3 linked regions of the Pelodiscus sinensis genome follow. The protein of the gene in region 1 purifies or fractionates together with the protein of each later gene. This does not show direct contact. Links are inferred from orthologs where the notes say so. Each region holds a gene or a part of one and is shown on either strand. Other genes may lie near its edges.

Region 1 (10,074 bases):
CTCCTCCTTTCAGCCCAAGCCTCTCTCTGCTACTGAAATGGGTGGAGGAGCAGGGCTCCAAAAGTACAGTACAGGCAAACCCTGTTCTGTAGTAGACTGTGGAGAATGTAGCGAGGCAGGACAAAGAAGTTGAGCCGGCCTAACACAGATGTACTTATTCAATGCACCATTGTTGAGAGCTCTGCCTAGAGAACACCCTGTGGCTGAAATATAAGGAGACTTTCCCCTGTTAAATGCTAGTGAGCCATGTGCTACTGGCAGTTTTGAAACATTTATAACAGGCCACATGTGGGTGGATTTTCACAGGGACAGTAAAAGGCGTCTCATGGGTCTGGCCTACGAAAGCTCATCACCTAATAAACCATCTTGTTAGTCTTTAAAGTGCTACATAGTTCTGTCTCTTGTTCCCTGAACCCAGGACTCTCTCTTCTCACATTTCAAGTCCCTGCTCCAAAACAAGAAGGCATCAGAACTTCTTAAAAACATGGCTGTAAGGGGTTTTGTTTGTCTATGGTGTCAAAGCCATTTCATTCTTGGAAATGGCTACCTTGGTTTTGCTAAAACTCCCCACAAAATTCAGTCTGAGGTTGGCATCTGACACGATGGACACTCTCCAGTTTGGCAAAATGTAACCGACATCAGAGTGCCATAATGGGAAGTATTAGGCAATCCTGAATACAGGCAATGGGAAGTATTAGGCGCGCTTGAAACCAGGCAATGGGAAGTATTAGGCACTCTTGGAAACAGGCAATGGGAAGTATTAGGCACTCTTGGAAACAGGCAATGGGAAGTATTAGGCGCTCTTGGAAACAAGCAATGGGAAGTATTAGGCACTCTTGGAAACAGGCAATGGGAAGTATTAGGCGCTCTTGGAAACAGGCAATGGGAAGTATTAGGCAATCCTGAATACAGGCAATGGGAAGTATTAGGCGCGCTTGAAACCAGGCAATGGGAAGTATTAGGCGCTCTTGGAAACAGGCAATGGGAAGTATTAGGCTCTTGGAGCCAGGCAATGGGGAGTATTAGACGCTCTTGGAGCCAGGCACTGGGGAGTATTAGGCTCTTGGAGCCAGGCACTGGGGAGTATTAGACGCTCTTGGAGCCAGGCACTGGGGAGTATTAGACGCTCTTGGAGCCAGGCACTGGGGAGTATTAGGCTCTTGGAGCCAGGCAATGGGGAGTATTAGACGCTCTTGGAGCCAGGCACTGGGGAGTATTAGGCTCTTGGAGCCAGGCAATGGGGAGTATTAGACGCTCTTGGAGCCAGGCACTGGGGAGTATTAGGCTCTTGGAGCCAGGCAATGGGGAGTATTAGACGCTCTTGGAGCCAGGCACTGGGGAGTATTAGACGCTCTTGGAGCCAGGCACTGGGGAGTATTAGGCTCTTGGAGCCAGGCAATGGGGAGTATTAGACGCTCTTGGAGCCAGGCAATGGGGAGTATTAGGCTCTTGGAGCCAGGCACTGGGGAGTATTAGGCTCTTGGAGCCAGGCAATGGGGAGTATTAGACGCTCTTGGAGCCAGGCAATGGGGAGTATTAGACGCTCTTGGAGCCAGGCACTGGGGAGTATTAGACGCTCTTGGAGCCAGGCAATGGGGAGTATTAGGCTCTTGGAGCCAGGCAATGGGGAGTATTAGACGCTCTTGGAGCCAGGCAATGGGGAGTATTAGGCGCTCTTGGAGCCAGGCAATGGGGAGTATTAGACGCTCTTGGAGCCAGGCAATGGGGAGTATTAGACGCTCTTGGAGCCAGGCAATGGGAAGTATTAGACGCTCTTGGAGCCAGGCAATGGGGAGTATTAGGCTCTTGGAGCCAGGCAATGGGGAGTATTAGACGCTCTTGGAGCCAGGCAATGGGGAGTATTAGGCTCTTGGAGCCAGGCAATGGGGAGTATTAGGCTCTTGGAGCCAGGCACTGGGGAGTATTAGGCTCTTGGAGCCAGGCAATGGGGAGTATTAGACGCTCTTGGAGCCAGGCAATGGGGAGTATTAGACGCTCTTGGAGCCAGGCACTGGGGAGTATTAGGCTCTTGGAGCCAGGCACTGGGGAGTATTAGACACTCTTGGAGCCAGGCACTGGGGAGTATTAGGCTCTTGGAGCCAGGCACTGGGGAGTATTAGACGCTCTTGGAGCCAGGCAATGGGGAGTATTAGACGCTCTTGGAGCCAGGCACTGGGGAGTATTAGACGCTCTTGGAGCCAGGCAATGGGGAGTATTAGACGCTCTTGGAGCCAGGCAATGGGGAGTATTAGGCTCTTGGAGCCAGGCAATGGGGAGTATTAGACGCTCTTGGAGCCAGGCAATGGGGAGTATTAGGCGCTCTTGGAGCCAGGCAATGGGGAGTATTAGACGCTCTTGGAGCCAGGCAATGGGGAGTATTAGACGCTCTTGGAGCCAGGCAATGGGAAGTATTAGACGCTCTTGGAGCCAGGCAATGGGGAGTATTAGGCTCTTGGAGCCAGGCAATGGGGAGTATTAGACGCTCTTGGAGCCAGGCAATGGGGAGTATTAGGCTCTTGGAGCCAGGCAATGGGGAGTATTAGGCTCTTGGAGCCAGGCACTGGGGAGTATTAGGCTCTTGGAGCCAGGCAATGGGGAGTATTAGACGCTCTTGGAGCCAGGCAATGGGGAGTATTAGACGCTCTTGGAGCCAGGCACTGGGGAGTATTAGGCTCTTGGAGCCAGGCACTGGGGAGTATTAGACACTCTTGGAGCCAGGCACTGGGGAGTATTAGGCTCTTGGAGCCAGGCACTGGGGAGTATTAGACGCTCTTGGAGCCAGGCAATGGGGAGTATTAGACGCTCTTGGAGCCAGGCACTGGGGAGTATTAGACGCTCTTGGAGCCAGGCACTGGGGAGTATTAGACGCTCTTGGAGCCAGGCAATGGGGAGTATTAGGCTCTTGGAGCCAGGCAATGGGGAGTATTAGACACTCTTGGAGCCAGGCACTGGGGAGTATTAGGCTCTTGGAGCCAGGCACTGGGGAGTATTAGACGCTCTTGGAGCCAGGCAATGGGGAGTATTAGACGCTCTTGGAGCCAGGCAATGGGGAGTATTAGACGCTCTTGGAGCCAGGCAATGGGGAGTATTAGGCTCTTGGAGCCAGGCAATGGGGAGTATTAGACGCTCTTGGAGCCAGGCAATGGGGAGTATTAGGCGCTCTTGGAGCCAGGCAATGGGGAGTATTAGACGCTCTTGGAGCCAGGCAATGGGGAGTATTAGACGCTCTTGGAGCCAGGCAATGGGAAGTATTAGACGCTCTTGGAGCCAGGCAATGGGGAGTATTAGGCTCTTGGAGCCAGGCAATGGGGAGTATTAGACGCTCTTGGAGCCAGGCAATGGGGAGTATTAGACGCTCTTGGAGCCAGGCAATGGGGAGTATTAGGCTCTTGGAGCCAGGCACTGGGGAGTATTAGGCTCTTGGAGCCAGGCAATGGGGAGTATTAGACGCTCTTGGAGCCAGGCAATGGGGAGTATTAGACGCTCTTGGAGCCAGGCACTGGGGAGTATTAGGCTCTTGGAGCCAGGCACTGGGGAGTATTAGGCTCTTGGAGCCAGGCACTGGGGAGTATTAGGCTCTTGGAGCCAGGCACTGGGGAGTATTAGACGCTCTTGGAGCCAGGCAATGGGGAGTATTAGACGCTCTTGGAGCCAGGCAATGGGGAGTATTAGACGCTCTTGGAGCCAGGCACTGGGGAGTATTAGGCTCTTGGAGCCAGGCACTGGGGAGTATTAGACACTCTTGGAGCCAGGCACTGGGGAGTATTAGGCTCTTGGAGCCAGGCACTGGGGAGTATTAGACGCTCTTGGAGCCAGGCAATGGGGAGTATTAGACGCTCTTGGAGCCAGGCACTGGGGAGTATTAGACGCTCTTGGAGCCAGGCAATGGGGAGTATTAGGCTCTTGGAGCCAGGCAATGGGGAGTATTAGACGCTCTTGGAGCCAGGCAATGGGGAGTATTAGGCGCTCTTGGAGCCAGGCAATGGGGAGTATTAGGCGCTCTTGGAGCCAGGCAATGGGGAGTATTAGACGCTCTTGGAGCCAGGCAATGGGGAGTATTAGACGCTCTTGGAGCCAGGCAATGGGAAGTATTAGACGCTCTTGGAGCCAGGCAATGGGGAGTATTAGGCTCTTGGAGCCAGGCAATGGGGAGTATTAGACGCTCTTGGAGCCAGGCAATGGGGAGTATTAGGCTCTTGGAGCCAGGCAATGGGGAGTATTAGGCTCTTGGAGCCAGGCACTGGGGAGTATTAGGCTCTTGGAGCCAGGCAATGGGGAGTATTAGACGCTCTTGGAGCCAGGCAATGGGGAGTATTAGACGCTCTTGGAGCCAGGCACTGGGGAGTATTAGGCTCTTGGAGCCAGGCACTGGGGAGTATTAGACACTCTTGGAGCCAGGCACTGGGGAGTATTAGGCTCTTGGAGCCAGGCACTGGGGAGTATTAGACGCTCTTGGAGCCAGGCAATGGGGAGTATTAGACGCTCTTGGAGCCAGGCACTGGGGAGTATTAGACGCTCTTGGAGCCAGGCACTGGGGAGTATTAGACGCTCTTGGAGCCAGGCAATGGGGAGTATTAGGCTCTTGGAGCCAGGCAATGGGGAGTATTAGACACTCTTGGAGCCAGGCACTGGGGAGTATTAGGCTCTTGGAGCCAGGCACTGGGGAGTATTAGACGCTCTTGGAGCCAGGCAATGGGGAGTATTAGACGCTCTTGGAGCCAGGCAATGGGGAGTATTAGACGCTCTTGGAGCCAGGCAATGGGGAGTATTAGACGCTCTTGGAGCCAGGCAATGGGGAGTATTAGGCTCTTGGAGCCAGGCAGGGCTGCCAGCTGCAGTCTACCCTTAGGGGACACATGAAGGACTAAACGGGGCAGGGGCCAGATGGGGCAGCCAGAGCCTGGCACTGCAAGAGGCTCCCCCCCCGCCAGGGGATCTTCTGACCCAGAGGCGATGCCAGGCCCCTGCCGTGGCTGGAGGGGGCAGCAGATCCCCCCAAGCCAGGGGTCCCCTGTGAGCCCTGGCAAGCCAGCAAGGATGGGGGGAGGGTGCATCGGGCTGGCACCGCAGGCAGCTGCAGACCCCCACGTGGGTGCGAGGTGCGTGCAGGGCGGGGCCATTCTGAGGGGCCCGTCGCCCCGGGCCAAGTCGGAGGCGCGGCGCGTGCGAGCTTCGAACAGCGATGCGCACCCGCAGCGCCTGAGGGATTGGCGGGAAATTTGCACCCTCCCCCCCCTTCTCGCGGGAGGGGAAGGGGGTATATGTATGTGCGCGCGCGCGCGCGCGCGCTGTCTTGTCACGTGACAAAGAGCGCCGCCTGCCTCGCCGCCGCAGAACGCGTCCGCCTGTCACGTGACAGAGGAAACCCTTCCCCCCTCCTCCCCCGTGCAAGCGGCGACAAGGCCCCTGGGGCGCGCCCCTTTCCGTCACGTGACGGCGGAGTGGGCGGGGCCCCCGGCGGGGGCGGGGATCGGGTCGCTGTGCGGGCTCGTTCGCACCGGGCGCCTGGTGCAGCGGGAGCGGCCCCGCCCGGGCGGCCATGTCCATGGAGGACCCCTTCTTCGTGGTGAAGGGGTGAGTGGGGGCGGGGTTATGTGGGGGGGCTGGGTGTGGGGGGGGGCAGGGTAGTGTCGGGGGGGCTGAGGGGGGGGGCAGGGTAGTGGGGGGACAGTGTTATGTTGGGGGCAGGGTAGTGGGGGGCTGGGTGGGGGGGCAGGGTTATGTTGGGGGGCTGGGTGGGGGGGCTGGGTGGGGGGGCAGGGTTATGTTGGGGGGCTGGGTGGGGGGACAGGGTTATGTTGGGGGGCAGGGTAGTGGGGGGCTGGGTGGGGGGGCAGGGTTATGTTGGGGGGCTGGGTGGGGGGGCAGGGTTATGTTGGGGGGCTGGGTGGGGGGGCTAAGTAAGGGAGGAGGGTAACTGGCAGACGGAGGGTTAATGTTGGGGTGACTGGCAGGGGTGCTGAAGAAGATGGGCGGATGGGTGGAGGGGAGTGAGATGGGGCAGGGATCATCCGTACTCTCCTCACCTTTGTAAGAGGTGAGAGAATCTCTGGGGTGGAGGAATTCTTTACTTTCCCTGCTTTTCCCCACTTCCCTGGAATCTTCCACCTACTTAACCTTTCTCTCCCTATTTACCAAAGGGAAACAAATTTGTATGGGCTTCTGGCCCCACCTGCCTCATGCTCTGTCCCAAGTAGGGATGTCAACAAGTAGCCAATTATACGATTAACCAATGAGCCTAGGCTTATTGTTTAATCTTGTTGACTACATGTATGCCACCCCCTTTGCTGCCTCTGTATCAGTGTGGGGGGGGAGAGGGGTGGGAAGTGGGAGCTGGTGCCCATGAGGAACTGGTTTTAAGCAGGATCCCAATGAGCACTGGATCTGCCGCCCTTGCTCCCCTTTCCCTATGCTGCTGCCTCTGATAGAGAGGCAGCAGTGAGGGGCATAGGCTAGAACTGATACATGTGGGAATCAGCTTTCACGCCAGCTCCCCACGCGTATGGGCTCTGTGGATCTGCCTTCCCCCCCTTGCATACTGGGGTGGGCAGGTAGGAGCCAGTGGTTAGGGGAGCAAGCTTAAAAGCTGGTTCCCCCACCACAGCACCGGCTCTGTGGTTGAGCCTGCCCCCTCCATGCTGCGGTCTCAGAGGCAGCAGGGAAAGGAGGGTGCAGGAGAGGCTGTTGCAAGCAGCAGCTTCTGTTCACAGGGGGTCCAAGCTCTCTGCTCCACATACCATGAAGCAGCCTTCAGGGCAGCAGTCCCTGTCAGCAGGGGTCCCAGCTCCACATGCTGCTGCTTCCTTATCAGAGGGTATGTCTACACTAGTCCCCGATTTTGAACTAGGGAGGCTAATGCGGGCGACCAAAATTGCAAATGAAGCGTGGGATTTAAATATCCTGCTTTTCATTAGCGTGTTCCCGGGCGGTCGCCATTTTGGCAACTGCCCGAGAACATGCTAATGAAGCATGGAATGAGGTTTAACTGGCAATTCGAAATAAGGGGTTTATTTTGGAATTGCTCTTCTCTGCTGCGTGTAGACGTGGGCAGTTATTCCGGGCTAGTCAAAATGGCGGCTGCCCGGGAATATGCTAATGAAGCACAGGATATTTAAATCCCATGCTTTGTTTGCAATTTCGGTCGCCCTCATTATCCTCCCTGGTTCGAACTAGGGGGCTAGTGTAGACATACCCAGAGAGAGCAGTGCAGGGCAGCAGGCAGCCAGTCCACAAGGGGCGCTGTTTTTTAAATTGGCTCCCCTTGCAGACTGCTTCCGCATGCCACCCTGCATGGCTGCCTCTGAAGCCAGGAGTGCACTGGTTGCTGGTCCTGCCCCCTGCGGACTATTGAATAGTGGCATAACCGATAATATTTTGTGCGGTTACATGATTATTCAGTTACGGAAGCTTCGGGGGTAGCCGAGTTAGTCTGTACAGGATAAACTTAAAAAACAACAAATGGTCTGGTAGCACTTTATAGACTAGCAACATGTAGATAGTATCATGAGCTTTTTATAGACTACATGTTTTGTTAGTCTATAAAATGCTACCAATGCATTTGTTGTTTTTTAAGTTTATTCAGTTACACTATATGTAACGTCCCTAGGGTGCATGTGGGATGGGTGGCCACACCTCCAGCAGCAGATTTGCTCCCGTGGAGGTACAAGGGACTATATCATAGTCCACTGGGATGGTATGTTCTCTAATATATTGCCTAATAACCTGAGAGCTAATGTTTGTGAAGGTTACGCTGCCCACTTCCCAAACATTTTTCCAGGATACAAGTGTTTGTGATTTCTTTTAGTGTGGGCTGAGCCTAGGGTATACCAGAAATGTTTACCTTGCAGCAAGTGTGTATAGACTGCCCAGCCTATCCTTGATAAACCTATCTTGTGTTAATAGTCAATCAGTTAAACTCGGGATAAAAAAATCTCCTATGTACACAAACAATAATAGGTGGTTAGAGAATGAGATTGGGAAAAGTATTTCTTGGTTGCAGAGTTAACTCTGGTAATCGTTATTTGGGCGTGACCACTTGAGTTGGCCTAGCCCTAGTTAGAGTAACAAAACTACAGTTCTGTCAACCTAGGCAGGGATTTTGAGGAGAAAGCAGTTTTACGGATTTTGGAACCCAGCCTGCTGCAGAGAGCGTGTGGACTGGCTAATGAGTTGCCTGTTTCTTGTGGTTTATAATATTTTCAATAGTTTGGTGTTTGAAGGGGTTGCATGCATTTCTTGAGCCTGTGGCTGCCCTGGCATAGAGAGAATATTTTGCTTGAGATGAGTGGAGACAAATGGGTCGGGGGAGGAGGAAAGACCCTCATCTCAGTGGTTCTCTACTAGGCTGCTCTTACTCTGGGGATGTGCAGAGGTCTTCCTGGGTACATAAACTTAGCTATTTAACTAGTTTTACAAAAAGACTACACACAAAGCACTAGTAAAATTCATACAAATTAAATTTCATGAAGACTATGACTTGTTCATGCTGCTTCAGATGCTACATACTGAAATGTATTGTATTTATATTCCTTGATTTATAATTATACGGTAAAAACAAAAGTAGGAATTTTTCAGTAATAGTGTGCGGCAACACTTGTATTTTTGTGTCTCTTTTGCCAGCAAATAGTTTTTAAGTGAGGTGAAATTTGGGGGCACACTTGACAAATCAGGCTTATGAAAGAGACACAGTAGTGTGGAAATACTGACAGCCACTGCTCTATCCTAAGGAGACAAGTAGGCAGATGCAAGAAATAGGGTCTTTTTTTAAGGAGATTGTAGAGGGCGTATAAGTAATATGATGCAATTGTGGTGGGGCAGTGTGTCACTGCTACATGAATGCTGAGGGCTACAGACCTTAAAGTGAATTTAAATTGGGGATAATGTGCAAAAAATAGAGGGAAACCAATATTATGGGGGAGCTGCTTGCATAGGGAAATTGTCTGAGTGCTATTAATGTGGCTTGACTTGTATATGGTTGCAGAATTTGGGTTTGAAGGAGTCAAAATTTTCCAGTGCAAGCTTTTAGTTTATTATCTTAATTTCAAGTCCTAATGAAATCATGACAAGAGGAACAGATGGTTGAGAGAGAGGCAGGGAAGCAGAGGAAAAACCGGTTGTGAATATGGAGAGAGGGTAAGAGTTCACCAATGTGGATGGTAAAAATGAAACTTGCTTCAAGGATGTCTTGCTGTTAGGGAGAGAAAATAAAATACTTTGGGCTGGTAGCTGGGCTATGTCCAGTCAAACTTCACAGAATGTCTAGTAGGAGGGTGGAGACTTGCTGATACAGTGAAAGAAGGGGTTTAGGTTCTCTTGTGCTGTCCCCTAAGATGACATAATTCTGCTTGTGTCCGCCTCAGATTTAGCTCTGAGGATAGTCTTTTAGTTGATATTTAAGTAGATTTTTTTCCAAATATATTGGGGTACAAAATAAAGATACGCACACTGTCTTCCTCTTATTTCGAATTTGTATTCCACGGGAATAAGACTGACATTTGCTGGTAGACATTTGCTACTTATCCTCTTACCCTAAACAATTAAATGATGGTCCTAGTGCCATCAGAAAAGCATGCATTTCCATTATATAAATTGAATGTGCTTTTCCATGAAGCTTGTGGCAGCAGCAAAGGCAGTTCATATTTGACTGGTAATATTAAAATAATCAGGGCCATGCTGAACACAATCCATGTAAAAATTCTATGAGGATAATTCCTGCAATTCTTATTGCCCTTTGTGAAGTGAAATTATTGGGGGGGAGGGAGGGGAAGGAGAAGCATGCATATGTAGTTGATATTGCAGTGTTACCTAGGCATTTCCCAGTTATGTGATGAAAGATGTAAAGCATAGTCTACTTCCTCCATTCAGCAAAGAATATTGGTGCAACAGTGTAACTACTACGGCAGTGTATGAAGATTTAGTTATGTGGCAGCATTAGGCTGAAGAATTGGGTCCCTTCAAAAATTGGGATTGCTGTAACAATTTCATAATGTGGTAATTCCTACCACACTATGGCTGTGTCTAGACTGCATCCGTTTTCCGTAAAAGGGATGAAAATTAGACACATCGCAATTGCAA
Region 2 (10,647 bases), on another chromosome or scaffold:
ACCTACAAAATCTTCATCAAGCACTCTTAAAATTACAGTATCCACCTGAGAAAGTGAGGAAACAGATTGACAGGGTGAGATGACTAACCAAAAGCCAACTACTACAAGATGGGCCCAACAAGGAAAACCACAGGATTATCACCTGCCATCTCTTACAACCCCCAGCTGAATCCTCATCAATGATCTACATACAACATATCCTGCAAAATGATGCCTCACTCTCACAGACCTTGGAAAGCAGGCCAATCCTCACAGACAGACCCCCAACATGAAGCAAATACTCACCAGCTACCCACACACCACATCACAGAAATACTAACTCAGAAACCAACCCCTGCAACAAACCCCATTGCCAGTTCTGCCTGCATATCTACTCAAGCGACACCATCATAAGACCTAACCACTAACAAATGAATTAGGTTATTAGAGCATAAGGTTTCGTAAGCTACAACTCACTTCCTCAGATGAAGAGGAAAAAAGAAAGCAAGAGAAAAAAAGAAAAATAAAAGGACACAGAGATGGAGTGTGACAGAGAAACTGTAGATCTGCAATTTATTTGCAAGCTTAACACTATTCCTCTGGGTTTGATTAGGACCAGGGAATGGCTCACTACAAAAGCAATTTTCCCTCTAGTGGTAGTCACATCTCCTCCTCAACTATTGATAGTTGGTCCCATCTACTCTGACAGAATTGGCCTAGTTAATACTGGTCCTTCACTTGATAAGGTAACTAACTCCCTTCTTTTCATGTGCTAGTATATTTATACCTGCTTCTGTAATTTCCACTCCAATGCATCTGACAAAGTGTGTCTTTGCCCAGGAAAATGTACACTCAAATGTGTTAGTCTATGGTAGCCATCCTGCAGCAAAAAAAACGTCAAGACCAGACTTCAAAGAGAAACTGCTGAGCTACAGTTTATCTGAAAATTTGACACCATCATTTTAGGATTAAACAAAGATTGAACGGCTAGCCAACTACAAAAGCAGTTTCTCCTCTTGGTGTTCACACCTCCACATCAGCTGCTAGAAGTGGGCCTCATCCTCCCTGACTGAATTAACCTAGTTATCTCTAGCTTTATTCTTATATTTATACCTGCCTCTGGAAATTTCTACTACATGCAGCTGATGAAGTGGGTCTTTGCCCATGAAAGCTTATGCTCCAATACATCTGTTAGACCAGGGGTCTCCAAACTTTTCAGCCCGAGGGCCGCATTAACTATCAAACAGCAGTTCGGGGGCCGACTACACACTTGAGGTCCAAATAAAAAACAATCAAAACATGGATGTTGTTTTTAATTATTTATTTAATATTATTTTATTCAGTTATTATTTAATAACACATTGATACACTACACATGAACACCTGTATTAGTGTGAATGGTGAAATTGTTTCCTGGATGCCAAAATAGCAGACATTTCTGGCTTTAGATTTGTTGTCCCTAACATCAACAGTGACCTGAGATTATCATCGGACAAGTTTGTTCTCAAATTGTTCTTCACATATTTCAGACGTGGGGAACTCAGCTGTTGCTTCAGCCATGAAGACCTTGCACTGCTGAAAGTGCGTCAAGTTGTTGGCCTGTACTTGTTCCAAAAACAAATTCGCAGCATGCCAGGCACATGCTATGGGGCACTGCATTAATGCACTGGGGAAAACTCACCCTTCAGGCCAGCGAGAAGAAATCCAGAGAGTGAGAAAAATACTTAAAAGGAGCAAGGGACAAATGAAGCATTAAAAATTAACGTTTTTCCTCACCTAGAAGCTGATTTTAGGCACTAGATCTGGTGTTTTAGGAGAGATCTGAAAGAATTTAATATTGATTTAAATCAGGGGTCACCTTTTTAAAGTTCCCGCCGGGGTTCACGTTCCCCCGCACGTCGCCGGGCAGGCGTTACCACCACCGCCCATCCTGCCCCCTGATTGGCCGGCTGCCCTGTCAGTCTGGGCAGGGGAACGCCGCCCGTGCTAACCCCCGCCCCCTTTGCTGCCGCGCGGCCGCTTGTCAGCGGAGCGGCCCGCTTCTCCTGCCCCGGCGCGGCGTGAGTACACGCCGCACACCCCTGACAGGGCCCCCCCACCGCGGCAAGAAGGGCCCGTTCGGCGGCGCCCCAGGGACGGTCTCCACGAGCCGGATGAGAGGGCCTCGCGGGCCGCATCCGGCCCGCGGGCCGTAGTTTGGAGACCCCTGTGTTAGACTATAAGGTGCCACAGGACTCCTTGTCGCTTTTGCGGATCCAGACCAACACGGCTACCCCTCTGATACTAGGCTATACAGGCAGTCCCCGGGTTATGTACAAGATAGGGACTGTAGGTTTGTTCTTAAGTTGAATCTGTATGTAAGTCGGAACTGGCATCCAGATTCAGCCGCTGCTGAAACTGATCAGTTTCAACAGCGGCTGAATCTGGATGCCAGTTCTGACTTACATACAGATTCAACTTAAGAACCCCAGGCTCCGCAGCTTTGCTCTGCTTTGCTCCCCGTCCCCCTGGTCTGCAGACCAGGGGGACGGGGAGCAAAGCGGCGGAACACGCGGGCAGCGGACAGCCCAGACGCGTCTGTGCTGTCCGCTGCCCGCATGTTCCGCCGCTTTGCTTCCTCTCCCTGGTCTGCTGGAGACCAGGGAGAGGGAGGGACCCGTTCGTAACTGCGGATCCAACGTAAGTCGGATCCGCGTAACTCGGGGACTGCCTGTAACAGTGTTTCCCTAATGGTATTTCATGGAACCCAGGAGTTCCATGAAGTGAAAATAAGGGTTCCATGAGAAAATTCCATTACAACAACATTTTTTATTAAAAAAATTAATATTATATGAGTTTTCTTTTTAGATATGTGCAATTAAACTAAATGTTGATCTCGTGACCTTGTTTAGCATTTGTTTATTATTTTCCTTACTTATTTGTGGTCTACTTTTTCAGCTCCATATATTAGACTGTTATTCGGGGTTCTGCAAAATTCTTTCAAGTTTAAAAGAGTTCTGTGGCCAAATAAAATTGGGAAACATTGGTCTATAATGTGCCACAAGACTCGTTGCTTTTTAGAAGCATAGGTGCTTACTTTAAAATGCATCATCTTCCAAAACGTGTGTCTGATATTTTGGCATATTACAAGACCAAATTAACATTTTCACCTACATGTACCCTTCACCAACCTCACACACTGGATATATTTAGATGCAAGTTCACCCCTGTTTTCAGATGTGCTACCATACCTGAGTGACAGAGTGAGTATGGGCATAAAGCAGGGCAGCTACTACCGGCACAGTTCAGATACCAGTATAGCGGTCGGGGAGGAGTTAAAGATCTGTAAATAGGCGTTTGCTTTGATGCTGGAGAAATTCTGCACAACCCAATGGCAAAAGATCAAGAGCAACGGCGTTAGAAAAAACACACACACTATACTGCAAGAGCCATCCCGCGCCGCCTTCCTAGCCACGGCCCACTGTCACCCCCTCCCCCCGGCCTGTCTCCCCCGACACCCCCTGCCCCGCCGCCTCTGCACCCGCTCCCCATCCCACACACATTCCTGAGCCATTACCGATCCCCACCCCCTCCAAGGGAGCAGCATCTCCAGGCGCCGAGCCCCTGCCCGCCAGGACTTTACTCACAGGCCGCGTCCTCCTGGTCCCACGACAGCGCGGCAGCCCCGCCGCCCATCACGCGGCTCGAACCGAGCAGGCCCCGCTGCCTACCCGGGGCCGGCCGCGGCTCCCCCAGGAAAACGGCTGAGAAGCGCGACCCGAGAGGGAAGCGCGGCGCAGGACCAGGGGAGCGTGCGCTCCCGCAGCCAATCCGCGAGCGCGGCACACTGCCTGCACGCTGGGAAACGGCCGTTTCTGCGGATCAGGGCCGCGCTTGGCCTGTTGGCTATTGTAGTTTTTTGGGAGCGGAAATTGCTGTGGTCCATCGCGGCACCCTGCCGCCCGCCAGCAGCAACGCTGATCACACAGGACCGGATGGGGTCCTGGTGCACTTTATATGGTGCAATACGTGTACTTGGCACTTTGCAGAACATGGGAAAAGGCTCCAGCCCTGAGGCGTTTGCCTTGTAAATCACTAACAAGCAGAACAGCTCAGTAGCCGGAAGCCATGGAGACTTTGCTGAGGCTATCATGGGAGAACTCAACATCAGAAAAAGGGGCATCATATGCTTACTAGGTCATCACAGTCTACTTTACGACTATATTCTGCTGAGGGACTCTTGGACTCAACCAGTCTGGGAATCAACAGAATCCTAATGAGTAGCTAATAAGAGAATAACTGCTATTTAAATGTAGAACTTACACTGCTATAGAATAGAATACTATCTGTTCCTTGGCTCTGAACAGTAACTTCCCATCCCCAGCAAATGTAGTTTTTCTTTCTGTCTATTCCTCTTTCCCATTATGGGCCTATTTCACTACCCTTACAGGATAAGTGGTGTGTTACTCTGAGACTAGTCTTACTGATAAAACTGAAAAAGAGATCAGTTCAAAAGCTTGGTTCGCTCATCTGAAAGGAAAGCAGAGGGAAATGGTAGTTTCTGTGGCTCAGGGCAGCAACTGGCAATTGCCTTTTGACAACTGTAGTTTTTTGGAAGCAGAAATTGCTGTGGTCCATCACAGCACCATGCAGCAACATTGATCAATAAGAGATACTACCCATATCCACCCTGTCTCTCTCATATCTTGGGACCAGTAGGGCTACAGGGACATTGCAAACAGCTACTGATATGATACAGAGATTTTTCAACATGAATAAAGGCATTAACATTTGCCCCTATATTGGGGAAGGGGAAGTGTTATCATTCACTATATGTACACTTGAGGTCGTGTTATTGATTCTAGTCTGCAGTTTCAGAAACTTTGGTACATTTCCTGATCTCCCTTACATATTCTGGGGAAATTCACACACATACAAAATCATAGAATCATAGAATACTACGACTGGAAGGGACCTTGAGAGGTCATCGAGTCCACTCCCTGCCTCCATGGCAGGACCAAATACTGTCTAGACTATCCCTGATAGACATTTATCTAACCTACTCTTAAATATATCCAGAGACGGAGATTCCACAACCTCCCTGGGCAATTTATTCCAGTGCTTAACTACCTTGGCAGTTAGGAACTTTTTCCTAATGTCCAACCTAAACCTCCCTTGCTGCAGTTTAAGCCCATTGCTGCTTGTTCTATCCTCAGAGGCCAAGATGAACAAGTTTTCTCCCTCCTCATGACACCCTTTTAGGTACCTGAAAATGGCTATCATGTCCCCCCCCCCTCAGTCTTCTCTTTTCTAAACTAAATAAACCCAGTTCTTTCAGCCTTCCTTCACAGGTCATGTTCTCTAGACCTTTAATCATTCTTGTTGCTCTTCTCTGGACCCCCTCCAATTTCTCCACATCTTTCTTGAAATGTGCCCAGAACTGGACACAATACTCCAACTGAGGCCTAACCAGCGCAAATTGAAAAACAAGACAAAATAATTATGGTTTTTACATGTAGGACTTGACATGTTAGACACCAATCAAGAGAAGTCCTTACAAACGAGTGAAAAATCACCCTACAGGCTTCCTGCCTGCCCAGGCTGGGGACTAGCACTGGGACTGAAGCTGAGACAAGAGGCACGACAAGGCTCATAAGACAAACAAAAATATTTCAGAAACCCAGCGTCAACATCCAAGAGCAGGAGACAAGCAGGATCCCGCATCGCTGGGGAAGAACAAAGGTCGCTGCTGCAGACCCGGCCCCGCTTGCTGAGAGCAGGAAAGAGACTGACAGTCAGCGCGCATGCTCGGAGCTAGCTCGGTGTTCCGGCTTAGGTCGACTGACCTCCGCTCTCCGCCATGTTGATTGTGCGAGTCCGCGCGGCTCGCTCTTTTCTCGCTCTGCTGGGTGGCGGTCGCGACAATGGGGCCAGCCGCCATGCTGAGTGTGGCCCACGAGGTGCCTTTCTCTCCACCATGTTGAATGTGGCTCTTCCTGGTTTGCCGGCAGGTGGGCGGTGCTGAGTTCCGGTTCCAGTTCCGGTGGGGCGGGCGGGGTCGGTGGCTCTGCCTGCCGGGCAGGTGTTGCTGGTGCGACGAGACTCAGTATGGAGCATTAAAGCGACGGCTCCGCTCGCGCTCCGGACTTGGCGGTGGCTGTGAGAGGCGCCAGCTGCAGGTGGGAAAAGGCGGAAACCTCCGGGTGTGGCGCCCGGTCGGAGCGGGGCGGCCTGTGTTGTCCTGCCCTAGGCGGGGTGGGGTGGCGCGGAGTCCTGGTGAGGTGCTCTGGGCTAGGCTGGAGAGCGCTCTTGCCCCCCCCCCCCCCCGGGCTGGCTCCCTCTGCGCGCGTCCGGCCCTAGTGCGGGATCCCGGCGGGAGCGGGGGTGACACCACTACTGGCCCCTGTGAGGTGCAGTGGGTGAGCAGCTGGCGCTGATGGGGACCAGGGGATGGGGCCGCCGGGGCCAACACTGCCCGTCTTACCTACTTGATAAACGCGGCATAGAGCACTGGTGCCCCAAACTTAGTAGTGCCCCATGCAGCCGCATAAAGATAGCCTTGTGTGATGATCTATGGGTTTTTTGGTCTCTAGTGTTTGGTAATATTCCAGTGTTTTTTGCAATGGAAAAAAAAGTTGCAAAAAAAGCAAGCACAATTCTGGGATGCATTAATGCAGGGGTTCCCAACTTTTCCGGTCCTTGTACCCCCCCTTGGCTTTTAGTAAACCTTCCCGTACCCCCTATTCAATATGAAAAGAAATAAATTCTAGACTCTAGAATCCACAACTTTTTTCACTAACACTGCTACTTTTGGAATATTTCAATTAGGATAATCTAGTTATTTACCAAATATTCCCCGCACACCCTTGACAAGCTTCTCGTATCGTATGCGTACCCCAGGTTGGGAGTCCCTGCATTGACGGGAGTGTTGTGAGCAGAACAGGAGAAGCCATTCTTCTGCTCTACTCTGCGCTGATTAGGCCTCAACTGGAGTATTGTGCCAGTTCTGGGCATCACATTTCAAGAAAGATGTGGAGAAATTGGAGAAGGTCCAGAGAAGAGCAACAAGAATCATAAAAGGTCTAGAGAATGTGAGCTATGAGGGAAGACTGAAAGAATTTGGCTTGTTTCTTTTAGAAAAGGGACGACTGAGAGGGAACATGATAGCAGTTTTCAAGCATCTACAAGGGTGTCACGAGGAGGAGGGAGACATTGTTCTCCTTGGTCTCTGAGGATAGGGCAAGAAGCAGTGGGCTTAAACTGCAGCAAGGGAGGTTTAGGTTGGACATTAGGAAAAAGTTCCTAACTGTCAGGGGTAGTTAAGCACTGGAATAAATTGCCCAGGGAGGTTGTGGAATCCCCGTCTCTGGATATATTTAAGAGTAGGTTAGATAAATGTCTATCAGGGATGGTCTAGACCAGTGGTCTCCAAACTTTTCACACCCAAGGTCACTTTTTAAATGACAGAACAAGCCAAGATCTACAGCCCTGCCCCTTCTTTGAAGCTCTGCCCTTTGTATTCTCCTTCTCTCCATCACTTGTTATCCCCAGCCCTTATACTGCTGCTTTTTTCCCCAATTCTTCTGTAGGAAGAGGTTTTTCCAACATTTGGCCTGTCTAGACTGGACCAAATGTCAAAAAAAACTTCTTTTGGAAGCCCCCTTATTCCTTGTGGAGAGAGGAATATAGAGGTGACCGAAAGATCATGTTTGCTCTTCCACTAAAAGAAGTGGAAGAACAAATGCGTCCCTGGATGCAGAAGAATTTTTCTGGGCTATCTCCAGAATCCTGAAAAACTCCTGCAGTCTAGCCATAATCTTGCTGGGTTGAGACAGGATATGTAGGCTCTGGGGTGGGGATGAGGGATTTGAGTGTGGGAAGGGGTGAGGTGTGCAAGCTTTGGGAGGAAATCTGGATGCAGGAGAAGGTGGATAAGGGAACACTGGCTCTGGGAGAGGGTGCCAGGCTGGGCAGTGTTGGGGTCAGATGTAGGGTTAGGGTACTAAGCAAGCCACAGATTTCTGAACCCTCACATCCAGGAATTTGGGTTTGGGTATGTGAGGAGCTCAGGGCAGGGGGTTCTGGTGTATGATAGGCTCAGGTCTGAGGGAAAGGAGAGTGTAGGAGTGTTATGATGCTGTGGCCAGATGGGGGCTTGGCTCCAATTTGGGGTTTGTTGGCCTTGCTTCATTTTTAAATAAACTACTGTGTCAAACAAAGTTTTTTGCATTGTCTTTATTTCTGAGAAGGGCAGGGAACCTGTCTTGAGTCCGGGGTCACTGACCCAAGAAAAGTCAGTTGGGGCCACACAAGTGAGATGCAAAAAAAACCCTCCTCCACCCCATCCCCCTCAAGCTTCACTAATGTGGCCCCAACTGTGTTGGTGGGAACAGGGGATATAGTATTGGGGAAGGGTGCTAGTGGGTGCTTTGGCAGGGGACAGGGTGCCAGTGGGGACAGAGTTCTGTGGCTCGGGATGGGAATGAGGACAGAGTTCGGGGAGTGGGGACAGAGTTCTGTAGCTGTGGACAGGGGAGTGGGGACGGGGCGGGGGGGGGGCAGTGGAGGCAGAGAGTCCCCTGCATCTGCCTCCTCCCAGGATTCTTCTCGCCACTCTCCTCCCCCCCCCCCCCCCCAAAAGCCAGTGCGTGCCTCCTCCTGGTCCAACTCTTCCCCCCCCCCCACACACACAGGGAAGCCTCGTGTGCCAGCTCTGGGGCTGACACCCCTTCCCCCCCCCCACACACACACCCCGGAGCAGGGAAGCCTCACGCACACCTGCCCCAGGGTTGACTCACCCCTCCTGTGCAGTGCAGAGAAGTCGCTGTGTTCCTCCTCTGGAGCCAATGCTCCCTCCCGCAGAACGCCTGGCAGAGCAGCTAGCGCACTTCCGTAATCGCCATTAGTGGTGCTAAGCAGCGGGATTCTGTCCATCCCCGGGAAGCCGACACTACCTCCATTTTCACTTAAGGTAGGTAGTGGGGCTTCTCGGGGGTGGGGAGGAAATGGCAGGGGCGGAGGGGAGCTGGGCAGGATGCCTCACGATTGACTGGTCGAGGCCTTGCGAGCGACCAGTCGATCGCAATCAACCTGTTGATGACCACGGGTCTAGACAATATTTGGTCCTGCCATGAGGGCAGGGGACTGGACTCGATGACCTCTTGAGGTCCCTTCCAGTCCTAGTATTCTATGGTTCTATGTGGGAGTATCTTGGATTTTATATAGAGGCATTATATTTTCTGCCTTATCTATTCTTTTCCTAAAGTTCCTAACCATTGTCAGTTCACACTGAAGAATATCAGCATTCTTTTCAGGATGCATTTAGAAGAGCAACTTGTTTCTTTTTCCTTATAGAGCCCTTTGTTTCTGCAGAAAGAGTTTGGGATGGTTACTAGAGTAGGTGATGACAGAAGGAAAGGTTCTGAGGAACTTGGAACCCTCTTGCTGTTTGTTGCTTTTGCAGCACCAGCAAACAGTGCTTGTATTTATCAAAGCTTGCTCTAGCTGTAGAGCATGTGATAAATGGCATGTATCTTGTTCCGTGTTAGGTTTTAAATAACTAATTTGATATTCTTTCTTGCAGGTCCAAATAAGTGAGATCCTTTTACTCTCTTTCAGTAGAGTAATGCTATGCTGTCAGGTAGTTTGAAAGAAATAAAAATTCTGGTTTTCATTGGCTTAGAACTTAAAATTGATGGGTCCTGCCTCCCCATCAGAAAACTGATAAGGCAGCAACCTCTGTAAGCTATATAGATATTTAACAGCTTTTTCCCTAGTTCTTATCCAAATGTCTTGAGGTGCTTTATGAACTTTTTTTATTTGTATCCTTTGGTATATATGGTTGTGACTATTTTCTTCCACTATTTGATCTGAGGAAGTGGGTCTGGCCCACGAAAGCTCATCTAATAAACCATCTTGTTAATCTTTAAAGTGCTACATAGTCCTGTATTTTATGAACTTTTAGGTATCTGAGGTTGGTAGCATTTTTTGAGAAGAACATAAGATACTGCAGAATCACTTCACCAGTCTGTCCCATCATTTGGGATGGAACACAATTATGGTTTAATAGCACACTGCAACGGTGCAGTCAAATGAATAATCTATCAAGTAGAATTTGAAAAGAACTTAGGAAAGTGCTATGTAATTATAGTGGGCTCAGAAAACCTAATACCCCAGTGTTTAATACTCCTTTTGTCATGAAAAATGACATTGGGTGCTTAATGACAAAGTGAGATTGATCCTTGGTGTTGTGAGTAATGGGCAAAACTATGCCTTCAGCAATATGATGCCCACTAGTAATCCATATTGTGATATTAGTTCAGTATTCATCTAGGAAAAAATGTTTTACATCCATTCTGCTCCTCACAACACTTCAGGAGTTGGAGAAGCTGCTTAGGAAGGCTCTGCAGGGGACACAGGTCCAGAGGCACAGTGATTGTGACAGTTTCCCCCTCCCCTCCACGCTTTTTGAAATGGTCTTGGATACAAATATGCTAAACTTGAAGATGCTTTGGACAGGATACCTCATGTAACCGATCAATTCTAATGTCTCAATCTGCTGGATCTGTATGTCTTGTATATAAAGTTAGATATGGATTAGAGAATGGTTTATGATTTTAAACGTGCAAATGAAAGGATGCTTTCAATGCTGGGACACCTCAGTGTCTGGGTAATAGCTGGTAAACAGCC
Region 3 (9,779 bases), on another chromosome or scaffold:
GCATTTCTGGTTATCTAAGTGACTAGGCTATTCTGCTTGAGTGATCACACTAGTCTGTATTTACAGCTCATCTCTGAAAATGACCCAGCCCTGGCCTCTCCCCCTAGAAACAGAGCTGGAAGAGACCTCAGGAGGTCATCAAGTCCAGCCCCCTGCCCAAAGCCAGACCAATCCCAACTCAATCAACCCAGCCAGGGCTTTGTCAAGCCGAGACTTAAAAACCTCTAGGGATGGAGATTCCACCACCTCCCTAGGTAACCCATTCCAGTGCTTCACCACCCTCCTAGTGAAACAATTTTTCCTAATAGCCAACGTAGACCTCCCCCACTGTAACTTGGGACTATTGCTCCTTGTTCTGCCATCCATCATGACTGTGAACAGCCTCTCTCCAGCCAGAGAAACGAGGGGACAGCCAGACTGCAGGGGGAGGGGTAGAGGGGTGTTCAGAATACCAGAGTAGAAGAGCAAATGCGCTGTTCCACAAGGAAGAAGGGGGCTTTCAAAAGGTTTTTTTGCCCAAAATGTGGCCCAGTCTGGATGGGCCAAATTTCGGAAAAGTCTCTTCCGACAAAAGTATCGGAAAAAGATACGCAAAACGCGGAGCACATCTTGCGTATCTTTTTTCGATAGACTCTCGCAGTCTAGATGTACCCGAGTATCACACTGAGAAGGAGGAAGAATCTTAAAAGATGTTTGAACAACCTGCATTTAAGCGAGCTGAATAGGATTCTTCAAGTCTATTTCTTGTTGACTATTTCAATTACAATCTTGTGACAAAGGGATTATAACGTATATCAACCCTGGCATTGCTTTCTCCTCTGAGAACAACTCATGGTCAAAATGGAGAGTGACAAATGACTCAATTCCATCATACCAGAAGAACATTACGCCCAGTCTACACAAAGATGTTGCACTATTTAACTAAACTGGTTTGTAAATCAATTTGGTTTAATTGGTGTGACTTTTTCATTTAGATTGAGGGTTGGATTGAGTCACTTATGTTGGATTTGCTCATGATGCATCCTGCAATTTATTTAAATTATACAAATTTGCATTTAACAATTTATTTTAATGTACCACCTAACCGCACACATAGTACATTTGTGGCTTTATGGAATAATTAGACACTGGAACTCAGAACCGTGTCTGGGTAGCATGTTGATCTCCTGAAGTTCTATTAGTTATGCCAGTAGACAGCTCTGTAGAGAGCTCCCTATGCACCCAGCTGAATTCTTACCCTTAGGAGCCAAACATCATAGATTTCAGACCAGAACAATTCTTGTAATAGGTCATAAGTGTAACATCTTCTACAAAGGCAAGTAAAGCTCAGAAGAGTCTTCAACATGACAGAAAGCTTTCCGATAGTACTCTATGCGCAGATGATCAAAGCCAAGAAAGGTGATGCATGTAATATCTTCTGTTTGAAACCCACACTAATGGGGGAAATTGAATACAATGAAATTGACTAATGAAAGCATTCTTGTCTAAAGCTGTGGTGTCCAACCAGTTTTGCTATAGCAAACTGGCCACACTCAACTGGCCAAATAGCCACATGTGGCTTAGTGGCTGGCCTATTGGGCACCACAGGCCTAAAGCAAACAAAATGGAAGAGTAACTTCTCTGTTACAGTAATATTGGGCATTTATATCAATTGGTAAACTCAAGCGTGACTTCTAAGTTGCTGGTGCCCCTTTATTTTATAAAGGCCTTTGATAAAACATGCCTTGACTATTTTGAGAAAGATTTGTGCTAGTTCTATGCCTCATGTGCTGCTGTGTTGACACAGATCAGGTGAAATGGTGTAAGAGCATAGAAGTAGGAGGATTATATTCGGTTTCATCCAACTGGCCATGAGAAGACAAAGCAAAGTGACAATACTGGGGAACAGGAGGGGGAAGAAAACAAAAAATTAAAAAAAAATCATTCTAATTTTGTCTTGTGCTTCCTGAGTTCAGTTCATTCCCATATCACCTGAATCGCACCATCAGTATACATGTAAAGAGTCCAGGCCTCCAAACCCTTATTCAAGGTAAACTTGAGCTTGTAAGTGCTTCTATGCAGAGATCGCATTGTACTAGGGATGTTAAGAGGCGGGTATTGAACTAATTGAGTAGTCGATAAAAATTCTATCAGCTACTTGATTAGTTGATAGGCAGCCTGCTCAGTCCTGACTCCTGGCAGGTGCAGGACCAAACCTCACTGTGGCTCTGCAATTTAAAAGGCAGTAGGAGCCAGGCAGCCTGCCCCCCCCCCCCCCGGCTCCTACTGCCTTTTAAATTGCAGAGCTGCCTTGGGGTTTGGTCCTACACCAGGTCCGTGGCCAGGACTGACCTGCTGACAGGGGTTGCTTTGCAGCAGCAGCAGCAGCCGCCCCTCCCCACTGCAAAGGGCAGGATGGGCAGCACTGTGGAGAGAGTGCTGGGGGGAAAACCAGCTTTTAAACCGGCTTCTCCCCACTACTACCTCTGATACAGAGGCAGCAAAGGGTGGGGGGCAGAAATGCGAGTAGTCCACTCCCTAGGCTGTGGGAACACAAAGTTTACAGCACTTCCTGGCTAAATCCTGATCTGGTTGTCTGGGTACTATGGTTATAATCAAGATCAGGCTACAAACTTGCCATCTAGTTTGCTAGAGGGAACTGTGATTTTTCACAAGAAGCAAAGGGCTTCACAGGAGAAGATCTGAGATGCTTATTTCTCTCCCGCAATGGAAACTGCTTTATTGCACATCTATGAGAGGAAGAGAGCTTGCAGGGAACCGTCCCTTGGAAGAGTCGGGGCGGACTAACAGGCCTTAAGCAGAGGCCACCACGGGCTGCAGGGGTGACCAGCTGTGGCTATTGACAAAGCGCTCGAGGTACAGGGGGTGCCTGGGAGCCGCCGTGGGGCTGACAGCACGGCCAGGGCTTGGGGGGCCGCTCCCGGGGGCCCAGCCCGGACATAGGGGAGGCGGGCGGCTGGGCCGGCTCCGGGAGGCAAATGGGCGATAGGCGGGCGGGCCGGCCCCCCCCCGAACCGAACCAGGTCCCTCCCCGGGCCCCCCGCCGGACCCCCCCCCAAACCGAACCAGGTCCCTCCCCGGGCCTCCCCCCCCGGACCCCCCCCCGAACCGAACCAGGTCCCTCCCCGGGCCTCCCTCGCCGGACCCCCCCCCCCCCCGAACCAGGTCCCTCCCCGGGCCCCCCGCCGGACCCCCCCCCGAACCGAACCAGGTCCCTCCCCGGGCCTCCCTCGCCGGACCCCCCCCCCCGAACCAAACCAGGTCCCTCCCCGGGCCTCCCTCGCCGGCCCCCCCCCCCCCGAACCGAACCAGGTCCCTCCCCGGGCCTCCCTCGCCGGACCCCCCCCCCGAACCGAACCAGGTCCCTCCCCGGGCCTCCCTCGCCGGACCCCCCCCCCGAACCGAACCAGGTCCCTCCCCGGGCCTCCCCCGCCGGACCCCCCCCCCCCGAACCGAACCAGGTCCCTCCCCGGGCCTCCCTCGCCGGACCCCCCCCCCGAACCGAACCAGGTCCCTCCCCGGGCCTCCCTCGCCGGACCCCCCCCCCGAACCGAACCAGGTCCCTCCCCGGGCCTCCCTCGCCGGACCCCCCCCCCCCGAACCGAACCAGGTCCCTCCCCGGGCCTCCCTCGCCGGACCCCCCCCCCGAACCGAACCAGGTCCCTCCCCGGGCCTCCCTCGCCGGACCCCCCCCCCCCCCCCCGAACCGAACCAGGTCCCTCCCCGGGCCTCCCTCGCCGGACCCCCCCCCCCCCGAACCGAACCAGGTCCCTCCCCGGGCCTCCCTCGCCGGACCCCCCCCCCCGAACCGAACCAGGTCCCTCCCCGGGCCTCCCTCGCCGGACCCCCCCCCCCCCGAACCGAACCAGGTCCCTCCCCGGGCCTCCCTCGCCGGACCCCCCCCCCCCGAACCGAACCAGGTCCCTCCCCGGGCCTCCCTCGCCGGACCCCCCCCCCGAACCGAACCAGGTCCCTCCCCGGGCCTCCCTCGCCGGACCCCCCCCCCCGAACCGAACCAGGTCCCTCCCCGGGCCTCCCTCGCCGGACCCCCCCCCCCGAACCGAACCAGGTCCCTCCCCGGGCCTCCCTCGCCGGACCCCCCCCCCCCGAACCGAACCAGGTCCCTCCCCGGGCCTCCCTCGCCGGACCCCCCCCCGAACCGAACCAGGTCCCTCCCCGGGCCTCCCTCGCCGGACCCCCCCCCCCCCGAACCGAACCAGGTCCCTCCCCGGGCCTCCCTCGCCGGACCCCCCCCCCCGAACCGAACCAGGTCCCTCCCCGGCCCCCCCTGCCGGATCCCCCCGCCGAGCCGAACCGGGCCCCCCCCGCCGGGCCGAACCGGGCCCCCCCCGCCGGGCCGAACCGGGCCCCCCCCGCCGGGCCGCACTCACTGCACTGGGCGATGCGCTGCACGTTGGCGCTGCAGGTCTGGACGATGGCGCCGAAGTCCCGGGCCGGGGGGCCCGCGGGCCGGCCCGCCTCCAGCGGCCCGTAGGACATGGCGCAGCCGGGCTGGGCGCTGGCTCCGGACGGGGCAGGCGGGAGCGCAGCTGACCAGGGCAAAACACCGCCGCGCCACTGCGCACGCGCACTGCTACCGGCACTAAGGCCCACCCCGGGCGGCGCGTGCGCACTCGCTGTCTCTCAGCTGCGGGCTGGCAGGCCCTTGGGCGCCATGGTTACGGGCCCGGAAGGGGTGAAGACCCCGCCTTGCCCCGCCCTGCGCGCGGAGCTCAGCTTGCACTGCGCCTGCGCCATGGAGGTCCGGGCCTGTCTCGCGGAGCCTGGCGAAGGGGGCGGAGCGAGCCTCCCAGCGACGATGGACTGGATGGGAGCAGCAGAGCGCACATAGCCCCGCCCCCGAGCGGGCTAGCTCCGCCCCCTCCCCAGCCGGGCCTAGAGCCCTGCGAGCATGGAGCCGCCCCTCCCCCTATTAGCAGGCACTGGCCAGGGGCGGGCAGAGGCCGCGAGCCCAAGGCAGGACCAGCCCGGCTCCATCATCCCGGCCAGGGCTGTGTCAGCGAGACACACACCTCCAGGGACTGAGCCCCCCCAGGGCACCCAGCCCAGCGCTTCCCACCGCCTGGGGACCTGCCCCCCTGCAACTGGAGCCCATTGCCCCTTGTCCTGCCACCCGCCCCCCCTGAGACCAGCCTCTCTGGAACCCCCCTTCAGGAACGTGCCGGCTGCCCTCAAATCCCCCCTCGCTCTTCGCTCCTGCAGATAAACAAGGCCAACTCCCTCAGCCTCTCCTCAGAGGTCATGTGCTCCAGCCCCCTCATCATTTTGGTCACCCTCCCCTGGACCCTCTTCAATGTGTCCACGACCTTTTTGTAGTGGGGGGCCCAGAACTGGACACAATACTCCAGATGTTGACTCAACAGAGCTGAATAAAGGGGAATAATGACATCTCTGGATCTGCTGGCAATGCTCCTCCTAATGCACCCTAATATGCCATTAGCCTTCTTGGCTACAAGGGCACCCTGTTGATTCATATCCAGCTTCTCATCCACTGTAATCCCCAGGTCCTTTTCTGCAGAATTACTACTTAGCCAGTTGATCCCCAGCTTGTAACTATGCTTGGGAATCTTCCATCCCAAGTGCAGGACTCTGCACTTGTCCTTGTTGAACCTCATCAGATTTCTTGTGGCCCAATCTACTAATCTGTCCAGGTCACTCTGGACCCTAACCCTGCCCTCCAGCATATCTACCTCTCCCCCTAGCTTAGTGTCATATGCGAACTTGCTGAGGGTGCAATCCATCCCTTCATCCAGGTCATTAATAAAGATGTTGGGAAGAAGGATCCAAGAACTCGGAGCGCAAGTGGTGTTCTCGTCCATCCTCCCTGTTGAAGGGAAAGGACTGGGCAGGGATCGTCGAATTGAGGACGTCAATGCGTGGTTGCGCAGGTGGTGTCGCAGAGAGGGCTTTGGTTTCTTTGACCATGGGACTCTGTTCCGGGCACAAGGATTGTTAGGAAGAGATGGGATCCACCTAACGGAGAGAGGAAGGAGCATCTTCGTGGGCAGGCTTGCAAACCTAGTGAGGAGGGCTTTAAACTAGGTTCGTCGGAGGACAGTGACCAAAACCCTGAGGGGAGTGGGAAAGTCGGATACCGGGAGGAAATGCAGAGAGGAAGGAGCAAGAAAGAAGGACCCCTTTTCAGCTTTTGCGGAAATTCAAGCGGCCAGTGTAGACAGCTGGCAAGTTTTTCCGGAAAAGCGGTTGATTTTCCGGAAAAACTGGCCAGTCTAGACACAGCCCTGGAGTATTGTGTCCAGTTCTGGGCCCCCCACTACAAAAAGGATGTGGGTGCATTGGAGAGGGTCCAGTGGAGGGCAACCAAAATGATTAGGGGGCTGGAGCATATGACTTATGAGGAGAGGCTGAGGGAGTTGGGTCTGTTTAGTCTGCAGAAGTGAAGAGTGGGGGGGGATTTGATAGCAGCCTTCAACTTCCTGAAGAGAGGTTCCAGAGGATGGAGAGAGGCTGTTCTCAGTAGTGACAGATGGTAGAACAAGGAGCATTGGTCTCAAGTTGTGGTGGGAGAGGTCCAGGTTGGATATTAGGAAAAACTATTTCCCTAGGAGGGTGGTGAAGCACTGGAATGGGTTACCTTTAATCACCCTGACATCTGTTGGGAAACCAATACAGCAGTACACAGGCAATCCAGGAAGTTTTTGGAGAATGTTGGGGATAACTTCTTGGTACAAGTGCTGAAGGATCCGACCAGGGGCCGGGCACAGCTTGACCTTCTCCTCACAAACAGGGAGGAACTAATAGGGGACGTAGAGGTGGGTGACACCCTGGGAAGCAGTGATCATGAGATGGTAGATTTCAGGATCCTGACCAAAGGAAGAAAAGAGAGTAGTAAAATACACACCTTGGACTTCAAAAAAGCAGATTTTGACTCCCTCAGAGATCTGATGGAAAGAATCCCCTGGGATGTTAACATGAAGGGGAAAGGAGTCCAGGACAGCTGGCAGTATTTTAAAGAAGCCTTATTGAAGGCACAGAAAGAAACCATCCCGACGCATAGCAAGAGAGGCAAACCTGGTAGGAGACCGGATTGGCTTACAGGGGAAATCCTTGGTGAACTTAAGCACAAAAAGAAAGCTTACAGAAAGTGGAAACTTGGACAAATGACCAGGGAGGGGTTTAAATGTATAGTTCGAGAATGCCGGGGGGTTATCAGGAATGCGAAAGCGCAAATGGAGTTGCGACTGGCTAAGGATGTGAAGGATACAAGAAAGGTTTCTACAGGCATGTCAACAAGAAGAAGGTGATCAGAGAGGGTGTGCGGCCCCTAATGGATGAAGGAGGTAACCTAGTGACAGATGATGTGGGGAAAGCTGAAGTACTCAATGCTTTCTTTGCCTCTGTATTCACGGACAAGGTCGGCTCCTGGACTTCTGTGCTAAGTGACACAAGACGAGAAGAAGATGGACAGCCCTTGGTGGGTAAAGAACAGGTTAGGAACTATTTAGAAAAGCTAAACATACACAAATCCATGGGTCCAGACTTAATGCACCCGAGGGTACTGAGGGAGTTGGCAAATGTCATTGAGGAGCCTTTGGCCATTATCTTTGAAAAGTCGTGGAGATCAAGAGAAATCCCGGATGATTGGAAAAAGGCAAATGTAGTGCCCATCTTCAAAAAAGGGAAGAAGGACGATCCAGGGAACTATAGGCCGGTTTCTACAGTCTTACCTCGGTTCCTGGAAAAATCATGGAAGGGATCCTAAAGGAATCCATTTTGAGACACTTGGATGAGAGGAAAGTGATCAGGAATAGTCAGCATGGATTCACAAAGGGCAAGTCGTGCCTGACCAATCTGATTAGCTTCTATGATGAGGTAACTGGCTCAGTGGACATGGGAAAGTCAGTGGATGTTATATACCTTGACTTTAGCAAGGCTTTTGATACGGTCTCCCACGCTATTCTTGCCAGCAAGTTAAGGGAATGTGGATTGGGTAAATGGACGGTAAGATGGATAGAAAGATGGCTAGAAGGCCGGGCCCAGCGGGTACTGATCAACGGTTCGATGTCAGGATGGCGGTCGGTTTCTAGTGGAGTGCCCCAAGGTTTGGTTCTAGGACCGGTTTTGTTCAATATCTTTATTAATGACCTGGATGAGGGGATGGATTGCACCCTCAGCAAGTTTGCAGATGACACTAAGCTAGGGAGAGAGGTAGATACGCTTAAGGGCAGAGATAGGGTCCAGAGTGACTTAGACAAATTGGAGGACTGGGCCACAAGAAATCTGATGAGGTTCAACAAGGACAAGTGTAGAGTCCTGCACTTGGGACGGAAGAATCCCAAGCATTGTTACAGGCTGGGGACCAACCAGCTAAGTAGTAGTTCTGCAGAAAAGGACCTGGGGGTTACAGTGGATGAGAAGCTAGATATGAGTCAACAGTGTGCCCTTGTAGCCAAGAAGGCTAATGGCATATTAGGATGCATTAAGAGGAGCATTGCCAGCAGATCCAGAGATGTCATTATACCCCTTTATTCGGCTTTGGTGAGGCCACATCTGGAGTATTGTGTCCAGTTCTGGGCCCCCCACTACAAAAAGGATGCGGAAGCATTGGAGAGGGTCCAGCGGAGGGCAACCAAAATGATTAGGGGCCTGGAGCATATGACTTATGAGGAGAGGCTGAGGGACTTGGGTCTGTTTAGTCTGCAGAAGCGAAGAGCGAGGGGGGACTTGATAGCAGCCTTCAACTTCCTGAAGGGAGGTTCCAAAGAGGATGGAGAGAGGCTGTTCTCAGTAGTGACAGATGGCAGAACAAGGAGCAATGGTCTCAAGTTGTGGTGGGAGAGGTCCAGATTGGATATTAGGAAAAACTATTTTACTAGGAGGGTAGTGAAGCATTGGAATGGGTTACCTAGGGAAGTAGTGGAGTCTCCATCCCTAGAGGTGTTTAAGTCTCGGCTTGACAAAGCCCTGGCCGGGTTGATTTAGTTGGGATTGGTCCTGCTAAAGCAGGGGGCTGGACTTCATGACCTTCTGAGGTCTCTTCCTGCTCTATGGTTCTATGATTCTATGCTGAACAAAGCCAGTCCTAGAACAGATCGTTGGGGCACTCTGCTAGAAATCGACCACTAACCTGACATCGAGCCGTTGATCACTCCTCATTGGGCCCGACAGTCTGGCCAGCTTTCTATCCATCTTACCGTCCATTTATCCAATCCATATTCCCTTAACTTGCTGATAAGAATATTGTGGGAGACCGTATCAAAAGCCTTGCTAAAGTCAAGGTATATCACATCCACTGACTTTCCCATATCCACAGACCAGTTACCTCATCATAGAAGCTACTGGGCATGACAGCTGGGGCAGGTCTGCGTCAGCACATGGAGGGGGCAAAGTGAGAGACGCTAATGGTGTCTGGCCCAGAGACCTGCAGCTGCTCTTTGCCTGGCTGGAGATGGGCTGCAGGGCCCTCCCCAGGTGTGAAAATCCCTGACTCTTAATGGGATTGCCCAGGGCCCAAGGAGGCACCACTCACTCACTTGCACTGTACTGGTGTAAGCCTCTGTACCTGGGGATTTGCAACATTTCCCCTTTCCTACCAGCCCCAGTAACACCCATCCTCTGGGCCCCATGTCCGAAGCACCCATGAGGCCAAACTGCTGACACACCTACAACACACTGGACCTGCGCCTGACCCCGAAGGGTTTGGTGATGATGCTGTTACTTAGAGCAATGGTCAGAACCTGAAATAGCTGGAGGGGGAGGGGGACTGCCTCTCTGCTGTCTCCAATCCCCACCGCCAA

Evidence for each region. The genes of interacting proteins can lie anywhere in the genome.
Region 2: the proteins of STX6 (region 1) and SNAP23 purify together in Homo sapiens (affinity purification with mass spectrometry; 3 studies listed by BioGRID and IntAct, with this or other methods). This does not show direct contact. The link is inferred for Pelodiscus sinensis from reciprocal best matches to the Homo sapiens genes STX6 and SNAP23.
Region 3: the proteins of STX6 (region 1) and STX12 purify together in Homo sapiens (affinity purification with mass spectrometry; 4 studies listed by BioGRID and IntAct, counting the BioPlex papers as one, with this or other methods). This does not show direct contact. The link is inferred for Pelodiscus sinensis from reciprocal best matches to the Homo sapiens genes STX6 and STX12.

Annotation. Positions count from the first base shown.
Region 1 is NC_134719.1:58,740,698-58,750,771, forward strand, and holds the start of STX6 (syntaxin-6), read left to right. Parts: upstream 1-5,400; 5' UTR 5,401-5,539; coding exon 5,540-5,574; intron 5,575-10,074. UniProt on the Homo sapiens protein: SNARE promoting movement of transport vesicles to target membranes. Targets endosomes to the trans-Golgi network, and may therefore function in retrograde trafficking.
Region 2 is NC_134714.1:66,550,444-66,561,090, forward strand, and holds the start of SNAP23 (synaptosomal-associated protein 23), read left to right. Parts: upstream 1-5,975; 5' UTR 5,976-6,137; intron 6,138-8,807; exon of another isoform or gene 8,808-8,929; intron 8,930-10,647. UniProt on the Homo sapiens protein: Essential component of the high affinity receptor for the general membrane fusion machinery and an important regulator of transport vesicle docking and fusion.
Region 3 is NC_134735.1:22,765,622-22,775,400, reverse strand, and holds the start of STX12 (syntaxin-12), read right to left. Parts: upstream 4,673-9,779; 5' UTR 4,501-4,672; coding exon 4,392-4,500; intron 1-4,391. UniProt on the Homo sapiens protein: SNARE promoting fusion of transport vesicles with target membranes. Together with SNARE STX6, promotes movement of vesicles from endosomes to the cell membrane, and may therefore function in the endocytic recycling pathway.